Linked DNA regions of Drosophila melanogaster. The protein of the gene in region 1 interacts with the protein of each later gene in a pairwise test. Each region holds a gene or a part of one and is shown on either strand. Other genes may lie near its edges.

The links.
Region 2: the proteins of CG8813 (region 1) and yellow-g interact in a two-hybrid assay, tested with the Drosophila melanogaster proteins (2 studies listed by BioGRID).

The regions. Positions count from the first base shown.
Region 1 is NT_033779.5:2,867,859-2,871,238, reverse strand, and holds CG8813 (uncharacterized protein), read right to left. Parts: upstream 1,588-3,380; 5' UTR 1,494-1,587; coding exon 639-1,493; 3' UTR 590-638; downstream 1-589. Other genes in the region: Ifrd1 (Interferon-related developmental regulator 1), read left to right, coding at 1-235, 307-550, 1,689-1,916, 1,985-2,068.
Region 2 is NT_037436.4:2,269,195-2,274,493, reverse strand, and holds yellow-g (yellow-g), read left to right. Parts: upstream 1-1,724; 5' UTR 1,725-1,802; coding exon 1,803-2,243; intron 2,244-3,354; coding exon 3,355-3,551; intron 3,552-3,985; coding exon 3,986-4,529; 3' UTR 4,530-4,613; downstream 4,614-5,299. Other genes in the region: CG32302 (uncharacterized protein), read right to left, coding at 4,713-5,299.

The DNA.
Region 1 (3,380 bases):
GATTGTTGAGCTTCCTGGGCTGCGAGGATGTTGGGGAGTTGGTACACCTGATGCAGAGCTTCGAGGCCATCTTCGCAGGCAGTTATTTGCGTGGCGATGACAAGACACCGGTATCCGTCACCGCCGAAGCTGGGACTTTCCATGCGGAGGCCTTGAACGCCTGGGGGCTTCTACTAACACTTATACCTTCGGGGGATTTTGTTTCGTTGATGACCACTGGCCAAAACATGTTTCCGTAAGTTTGAAGAGCAAGTTCCATTTAACTTTCAAACCCATTGCTATAATTGTTTAAACTAAACTTTGCAGATCTATTAAGAAGTTCTTGGGTCTCTTGCAATCTACACATTTGGACGTCCGCATGGCCGCTGGCGAGACCATTGCTTTAATTCTGGAGTCGGGACGTGCTCACGAAGAGGATTTCCTAGAAGATGACATCGCTGAGTTATCGGAGGCCGTCAAGCAGCTGGCCACGGATTCGCATAAGTACCGCGCCAAGCGCGATCGCAAGGCCCAGCGTGCCACCTTCCGTGATGTGCTGCGATACCTGGAGGTGAGTTGAAGATTTGCACGAGTGCTACGCTTAAACAATAGGGATTACATTTATTTATTTGACTCGAGATGCACTAGTCTTTGGACGATTACTTCATGTCAGTGCAAGTGAACTTGAGCTCGTGCTTGCAGTACTTGGCCAAGCACTTGGAGTGATCGTGCAACTTGTTGCGCATGATGACGCAGCCGTTCCGGCTTATCGAGTCCATGTACTCGCTGAAGGTCGGCACCTTCCGGTATGTGGTCGGGGCGGAGTTCCAGTGCGAACTGCTGCCGGATTCGATGGTCTGCGAGGAGTCCGAGAAGCTGGTCTTGAATGGCTTGTAGTTCTTTTGGCACTCGTCGCTAGACATCTCGTAGCCAGCGGACGCCTCCCGCTCCAGTTCGTTCATCACGTTCGAGCGGAACTCGTTGCAGGGTCCACGTTCGCTCATCAGCTTGTTGGCGTTCTTGGACTCGTCCTCCGTCTTTAGGCTCTCATAAATACCCTCCGGGTACTCGTTCATGTTACAGTAATCGATCTGATAGGTGGTGTTCATACGGTTGGTCTCCAGCCTGCGGCTCAGCTCCTCCTTGGGCATGACCTTCAGGCGTTCATACAGATCCGGGTAGACTGTACGTAAGATCTTGAGAAAGCGGTTGGGTTGCAGCTTAAAGCAATCTGTTTCCGCGGAGAAGGCCATCTTGTCCACCTGGTCCTGAGTCAGCTGGGTGGGTATGATACGCGGATCCACCAGCTTTCCCATTGGCGCTATGCCCGTCCACTCGACGCCGCCACAGTCCTTAGACGCGTTCGGCGGCATCATGATCTTGGACTCGTCGACGCATTCGCACTCCTTGACCTGCGGACCACTGTGAGCCTCGGCGCCCCTGGGCCGCGTTAGAAACTCGTACCGTTTGGCACTGGGCGGGACATAGTCGTGCTGATAGGTTGATAGCATCATCTTGATAACGAAATCTACAAAACTAATTGGCCAAAACAATTTTTTTTAGTAGTTTTTTTTTTTTTAACGAGAAATTTGGTCTGTTTGATCTGATAGAGAAACTAATAGTGATACATTTCAAAATCGTACGAAATGAGATTAGAATATTTGCTCGTAGCCTAGCCTGATTTTAAAGTTTTTTTTATCTCGTTGCAGGAGGACATTTCCCCAGAGATTAGCATTCGTTTCGGTACCGAGTCGCTGACACTAGATTCCTGGTCCATCCATCATCAGTATTCGGCCATGTGCACTGTCATGGGTCCCGGGATGACCTCGCAGCTGCAGGAGAACGAGTTCATCCGTGACATCTTCCAGCTGGGACCACGACCCACGAACACAGGCATCAATGGAAACGCCAAGGTCAAGCCGACCAAGCTGGAGCGGGTAAGTTGATTGAAATGTGTTAACATTCGCTTCAAATTTTAATATATTTATATTTGTTGCTTTTGCAGCACCTTGTGAATGCTGCTGCATTCAAGGCACGCTCCATAACACGTGGAAAGAATCGTGACAAGCGATCGGCCGTCGTCACTTAAACCTGTGCTTCACCCACCAACCGTTCCCATCCACAGACACCCAAACCAACCATCTCAAACCCCGTTAGCCAACTCTGGACTTACTAGTTGAATTGTTTCTAATTTTAGCTTGAACCAGGCAAAGCGTCGCCAAAGCTGAAGAACTAAGTCTAAATTTAGGATAATTCAGTGTAATCTACAAAATTTCTCTAGTTTATTAACCACATGTTGGAGCCATTGTTTGAATATTATGAAATATTTATTGCGTGCACGCACAGTGGTTGTTTATCAGTAAGTGCATGGCTGGCTCCAGCTTGGATCTTATTCTTTGTGAATTTAAATTAACACTGCGATTGTTACGACTGGCATTTACGCTTTGCGATTTGGGTTAACCTCTTTTGTTGTTGATCTTTTTAAATTACAAGCGTAGGAAAACATAGTCTGCTTTAATGCTGCGAAAAAGTTATTCATAACTTGACATGGCTTTTAATACGCATAATAAGCGGCTCTATGAATACATATATTTTGTAGTAAATAAGTGTAAAATAAAGTTTAGGCTTAAACGAAAACTACTTGAAATGCATTCTTACTGGTGGGGATACAACAATGGACTCCTTTTTAGAAAACACTTAAAAAACAGTTTGCGTTTTATAAATTGTATTTTATTTGTTAGTTTTATCACAAAAATTGTATGGTAACTTAAATTGTATGTTGGATTCTTTCCTTTTGTGGATTTTGTTTTGTTTTTCTTTGCTTTGACAAATTTTGTGTAGTAACTACAATAAAATTTATATATATATATTATATATGTTCGTGTGTATGTATATATGGGCGCAGCTTATACAAATCAGTTTCTTAAGGAGTAAACTTAAAGGTTAATAAGAAACGTATTTCCATCAAGTACAAATTAAAAACTTGTTTGCTTAATTTAATATTCGCCAAGTACTCGTGTTTTGCTTGCTTCTTGTTTGCATCCATGGATGAAACCGATAATGAAATGAAGGAAATCAAAATGCTTTCATAATTTAGGTGTAAATAAAAGAAAACTATAAACTATAAATCAGCATGGGGACTGACTCACTGGCGCATCTAAGCACTATCTTCTCGCTTATTCGCTCTTCAGGCTACTTGGCAACGCGTTCGTAATCATAATCTCAGGATGTTCTCGTTTCTGTTTCCGTTTCCGTTTCGCTTTCGCAATTGATACTGACCTACACTTATTCTACGTAATATTTGGCTTCTTGTAATACACTTTGCTTCTGGAAATCTGCATGATAATTTGAGAGACGAAATTCACTCGTTAATCGAAACGCTTTTCGCTACTCTTCTTGTC
Region 2 (5,299 bases), on another chromosome or scaffold:
GAGTAAAAGAGTCTTAGCATCGTCAAATTTCCATTTGCATACTTTGCTTTTATTTATGTTGGAGCACATAAATATTTATCCACAGATTCGGCCCGACTGACAATCCCGCCCACATATCACAGCACTTATCACATCCGCCTGCTTTTGGGCATGTGTGTGCCATAAATCGGGGGATTACGATCGTGGGAAGGGGGGTTTGGACCCATGGCAGTTTATTGAATCGGAATTCACAAAAATTCAATCTGCATGTAATTTGGCATTATAGACAGACCCTTCCCATTCCGCCATGCGGAAGGAGCAGCCAGTCTGACCCCCGATGAATGGGTTATCAAAATGTTGACCCGCCGATGGTCATTTGATGATGGGCAGCTGTAAGGAGATTAAACATTTTGTGATTTAATGTAAGCCCAGTGCTGTCCATAATTCGCTGCACGAGCTGTCCCAAACAAAAGACTCTTCAGCTGGACACCGACTCCTCCACCGCTTGCCCGAATGTGTCAAAGATTTTTTATTCGCCGCTTGGCGATATGTGGGTTTCTACGAGTTAACGGGGTCATCGACCACGTCGGGCGGATACACCTCTAATCCCCCCGCAATCAACGTGCAAAAAAGTCCACCAAAGTCCACAAAGAGACTTGAGCAGCCAACAAAAAAAAATATGGCAAAAAATGTAGTTCCAGGGGGCACCCGGATTTGAACCGGGGACCTCTCGATCTGCAGTCGAATGCTCTACCCCTGAGCTATACCCCCGACTTGAAAATGGCGAACTCAGAGCGCCTTTTAAAGTTCCCTGATGCGATAAAATTTCGCCTTTGCATTTATCTTAAAATAGAAATGAAATCAATTTGGAACAGAGTGACTGTTCCGCGAAACTGTGGGTGTGATTCACACGACGAATCTCCGGCAACTTGCAATCTTATCTGCGAGTAATGTGCCCCACCAACTCCCCGAACTTTCTCCTTTCGCCCGCCCCCTCCCCCAAAAGCAAACTGATAGCTAGCTGCAGACGGACGGACTGACAGATGTTTTTGTCATCCGAAAATAGCTGGTAACTCGAGCCAAGAAACTGAAACTTTCTCGGTCGCAGATATGCAGGTCACAGACGTCAGCATTGATATTGAACTTTTGGGCCACTTTGGCAAGTGTTTCGCAGCGACCTCTGAACTTTGCCTGCCAAGGGGTGAAACTTGCTACTCTGTCGGATGCACAAGAGCGATCGATGAGTGACAGAAGCTATTTCGCAACTTGAACCCATTTTATTGAACGGACTTGAGTGACTAATTAGCTGCCTATAAATGGCTATAATAGCACAAAGTTATACTCAGAAAATAAGAGCAATAAAAGGAGTAGAAGTGATTAATTAGACAGGCATAGATTGCCATAATAGAACAAACTGTTATCAAGACAATTAAAGTAAAAACCAGGGGAGTTAAATTTGATTTGGATGGCTTAGGAAGAATCGTGTAATCTAGATAGAGGGAAGGGGTTAAGTTTGCATTTCATTTCCGCATCGCTTTCCGCATTGCTTAGAAACCGAGCGGGCTTAGAGGTCTGGCCGACTTCCGGCGTGGGCCAGACGTGCTGGCTGGGTGGTAGCCACTCCAGACAGACACTTGTTCCCCCCCGTGTCAAGCAACCAACGACCTTGCCGCAACACGCTCCACATGCTGGCTGCATAAGTCGTTGGGTATTATATATAAATGCAGGTCTACCATCGCTCAGACAGTTTTATGTTCTGGCCAACGTGGTGAATCGAGTGCAGAAGCTCTGTTTGTGGAAAGCGCAGAAAGAAACGCCGAAAAATGTCGCAGCTGCAACTGCTGCTCCTCGTCGCTTCGGCCTCCGTGGTCCTCGCGGGATACAGCTCCTCCACCGACGAGTCGACGGACGCCTCCAACTCCATTGGCGGCACCAAGTGCGACAAGAACCCGCTGAACGAACTGACCTTCCAGCTCAGCGGCAGCAGCCTCCACTGGCCCTGCGAGTCCACCAAGAACATCTACGTCCAGTCCGGCCGCTATGTGCCCCGTAACGTGATCGTGACCCGGGCCCAACTGCAGCGGGACTCCGCCTTCGTGGCGCTGCCCAGGTACAAGCAGGGCGTGCCCTTCACTCTCGGCAAGGTCAATCTAAAGAAGGGCGAGTGCCTGACCAAGATCGCACCCTATCCCTGCTGGGCCATTCAGGAGGAGGGCAACTGCCAGGCGCTGCAGTCCGTCGTGGACATAGCCGTCGATCAGAATGTGAGTGCAATTAACGCCAGTATTGTTTGGACCATTTTTTTTTTGGGGGTCAGACAAGTTGTCTCGTCCAAACTGCCAGTTCTGCCTTTAATTACGGACTGCTCGTTGTTGGCCACCATGGAGGCATAGCACTTTAACCCACACCAAATGTTTAATTCATATTTGTATCGTGGGTGGATTACAGGGTAGCATTGAAATGCTCTTAGGGCTATTCACTTTTTTTTTCTAAAAATGATTTAGTTTATCTTCTGATATTGATATTGATGTGCAGTCGCAGTGTTAAATATTTGCTAGCCCTTACAAAGTCGATCAAAATCGGGAGTTTAGCTCCAGGGTATCGTTTTCGCATTAACCCCTTGCCGGACGCACTTTTTTAATTGGTTAGCCTCGCTGTCGACCAAATATTACTTTTTTAATCAAATAAACGGGGCCACAAAAGTGAAGAGCTCCAAATAAAATTCATGCCCGTCAATTGGCGGCAGCAATTTAAGGGTAGAATAAACGGATACGGAAACGCCGAAAAAGCTGTGGGGTAAATGGAATATTATAAAGGACAAGGACTGCAGCTGAAAAGTGACAAGCAAATGCAGTGAAAAGTTCTCGAAAATAATTTTGGAAATGCTGGGAACAGGCCATCCAGCCGTGTTTTGTGCATTTCGATTGCACTTCAGAAGTTCTCAGCTTTAATTTTAAATGACAGATGCATTCGCAGATATTACAATGATGCTATTAAATATTTACATGACCTACTTACGATTGCGAGCATAAGCTGCAACTTAATAATTTCCTTCAATTATTGTTGGCGTCGAATCGTTCTCATTTAAATGCCATTCCCGTTTAGCTGCATTTATGCAAATCATTTCTTTATTTTATTTACACAAAAGTCGACGAAACAATAACAAACGGCAAACAAACGAGGCGACTGTATTTATTTATTTGCGCAATTTTCCATTCAGTGCTTTTCGCTGATACTCATTTTATGGCCACATATTTGCGAATGTGGAATTTTTAACGCCGCCAACATTTCAATTAGCCGCCAAATGAAAACATTAACAACAATCAACACGAGCTGCAATTGATAGCAATTAATAATTGCCTTCTCCGTTCGCAGGGACTTCTGTGGGCCTTGGACGTGGGCATTGTCAACACCCTGGAGCAGCCCATCCGCAGATGCAGTCCCAAGATCGTGGCCATAAACACGGCCAACCACAAGGTGGTCAAGAGCATCGACCTCAGCGACCTGGTCACCTCCGAGAGTCGGCTGCAGTTCATCGTGGTCGACTACTCCAAGGACAACAAGCCATTCGTGTGAGTTCCATTGCCTATACTCTTTTATTACCCTTAACTTCATCTGTGAAATGAGTTGTACTTAATCACTTTTTGAAATACATCAACTATGAAATTAATACCACACATTACATTATTATTAACCATTATTACTAACCATTATTTATCAGCACAATGATATTCAGAGATTCATATTGCAGTCATAAAATATTCGTTGAAATCATCGAACTGAATCAAGAGTTTGGAGTACTTTTACCACACACTTTCAATCATGCTTTCAATCAGCGATCATTGAGCCAATCAAAAGGGCATTAGCCACTTTGAGGCTCATATCTTATCTGCTCAAGGTAGTTCTCAGAAGTGTGGCTCATCATATACCAAATAAAATCGATTTGTATTGCATACATGATATCTAATCTCATTCCACATTATATTTCCTTCACTTTCAACCATAGCTATGTGGCCGATGCTGGAGCACGTAGTATCCTGGTATACGACATCACCGGCAACAAGTCCTACCGCATCGTCCTGCCGAAGGCCACCGCCCCCACCAGCGATGTGCTGTACGTGGCGCTCACCTCGAAGCCGGACGGCACCTCCACCCTGTTCTTCAGCTACCTGAGCTCCCCCCGTCTGTACTCCATCAAGGGCGAGTACCTGCGCGTTGGCCAGGGAGCGGGCTCCATCATCGACGTGGGCCCCAAGCCCTATGGCAAACAGGCGGTGCTGCTGGGCGCCGACGGCGGCACCTCGCTCTTCTTCCGCTACAAGGGCGAGAACGACATTTACCTGTGGGACTCGGAGACCTGCTTCAAGGCCGCCAATCTGCAGGAGGTGCAGCGGGGAGGCGACTGCCGGCTGTCCACCCAAGTGCTCCCGGGTCACAAGCGATTCATGTGGGCGCTGGAGAGCAACTTCCACGATTTCATCTCGGATCGCACGGGCTGCAACGGAGCCTCGATCGTCCTGCATCCTGTGGTGCGGGAATGTGACGATTGAGTCCGTATCCCTCCACTTTCTTAGGCTTAAGATTCAAACTGATTTGTTGTCGTTACTGGGTCTCATTAAAATTTTGGTGAATATTTATAGTTATTTGTAGTTTATCTTAAAATGTTCAGAATGATTTCAATTTTTTAAATAGGCATTTACTTGAATCAATATTGGTACCATGAAAACAATTCATTACTCTGACTCTGATTGGCACTTTCGAGTCTCAGCATTGAAATACTGTCCCATTGGACAGCTGTAGATCTGCAGCTGGTGATCGATGCATATGCAGTACTCATCCTTGGTGGAGACATTGGGACAGCTGAGGATCTCAAAGTCCGAGCACTGATAGATCCTATCAGTCACGCAGGTCAGGATCTTAGGATCAATTTGGAAGCCGGCGGGACAGGTCATCACCTCCAGTTCTCCATCGACGCACTTGCAGTACTCGATCTCAGAGGTTCGGAAGGGGCATTGGTACCTATCGTTGTTCATGCACGTGTGGGACTCCATCGCCTGAATGCTCCTCATGCTCCTGGTGTCGGGCACACAGCTGTAGCTGTTGAAAACGAATCCCTCGTGGCACTTCATCATCAGCGGATACAGCGAATTGGCCGTGTCATTGACGCAGACGTAGAAGTACCGATTGTCGGGCGCCCATCCACCCACTTGTCCCGACCGACTGCAGGTGAACTGCTCCTGGATGCACTGCTCACTCTCCCGTGGCAGAACACAAGTGCCCGTGAGTGTGGAGTAGCCCGCTCCGTTGGAGCAGATGCGAG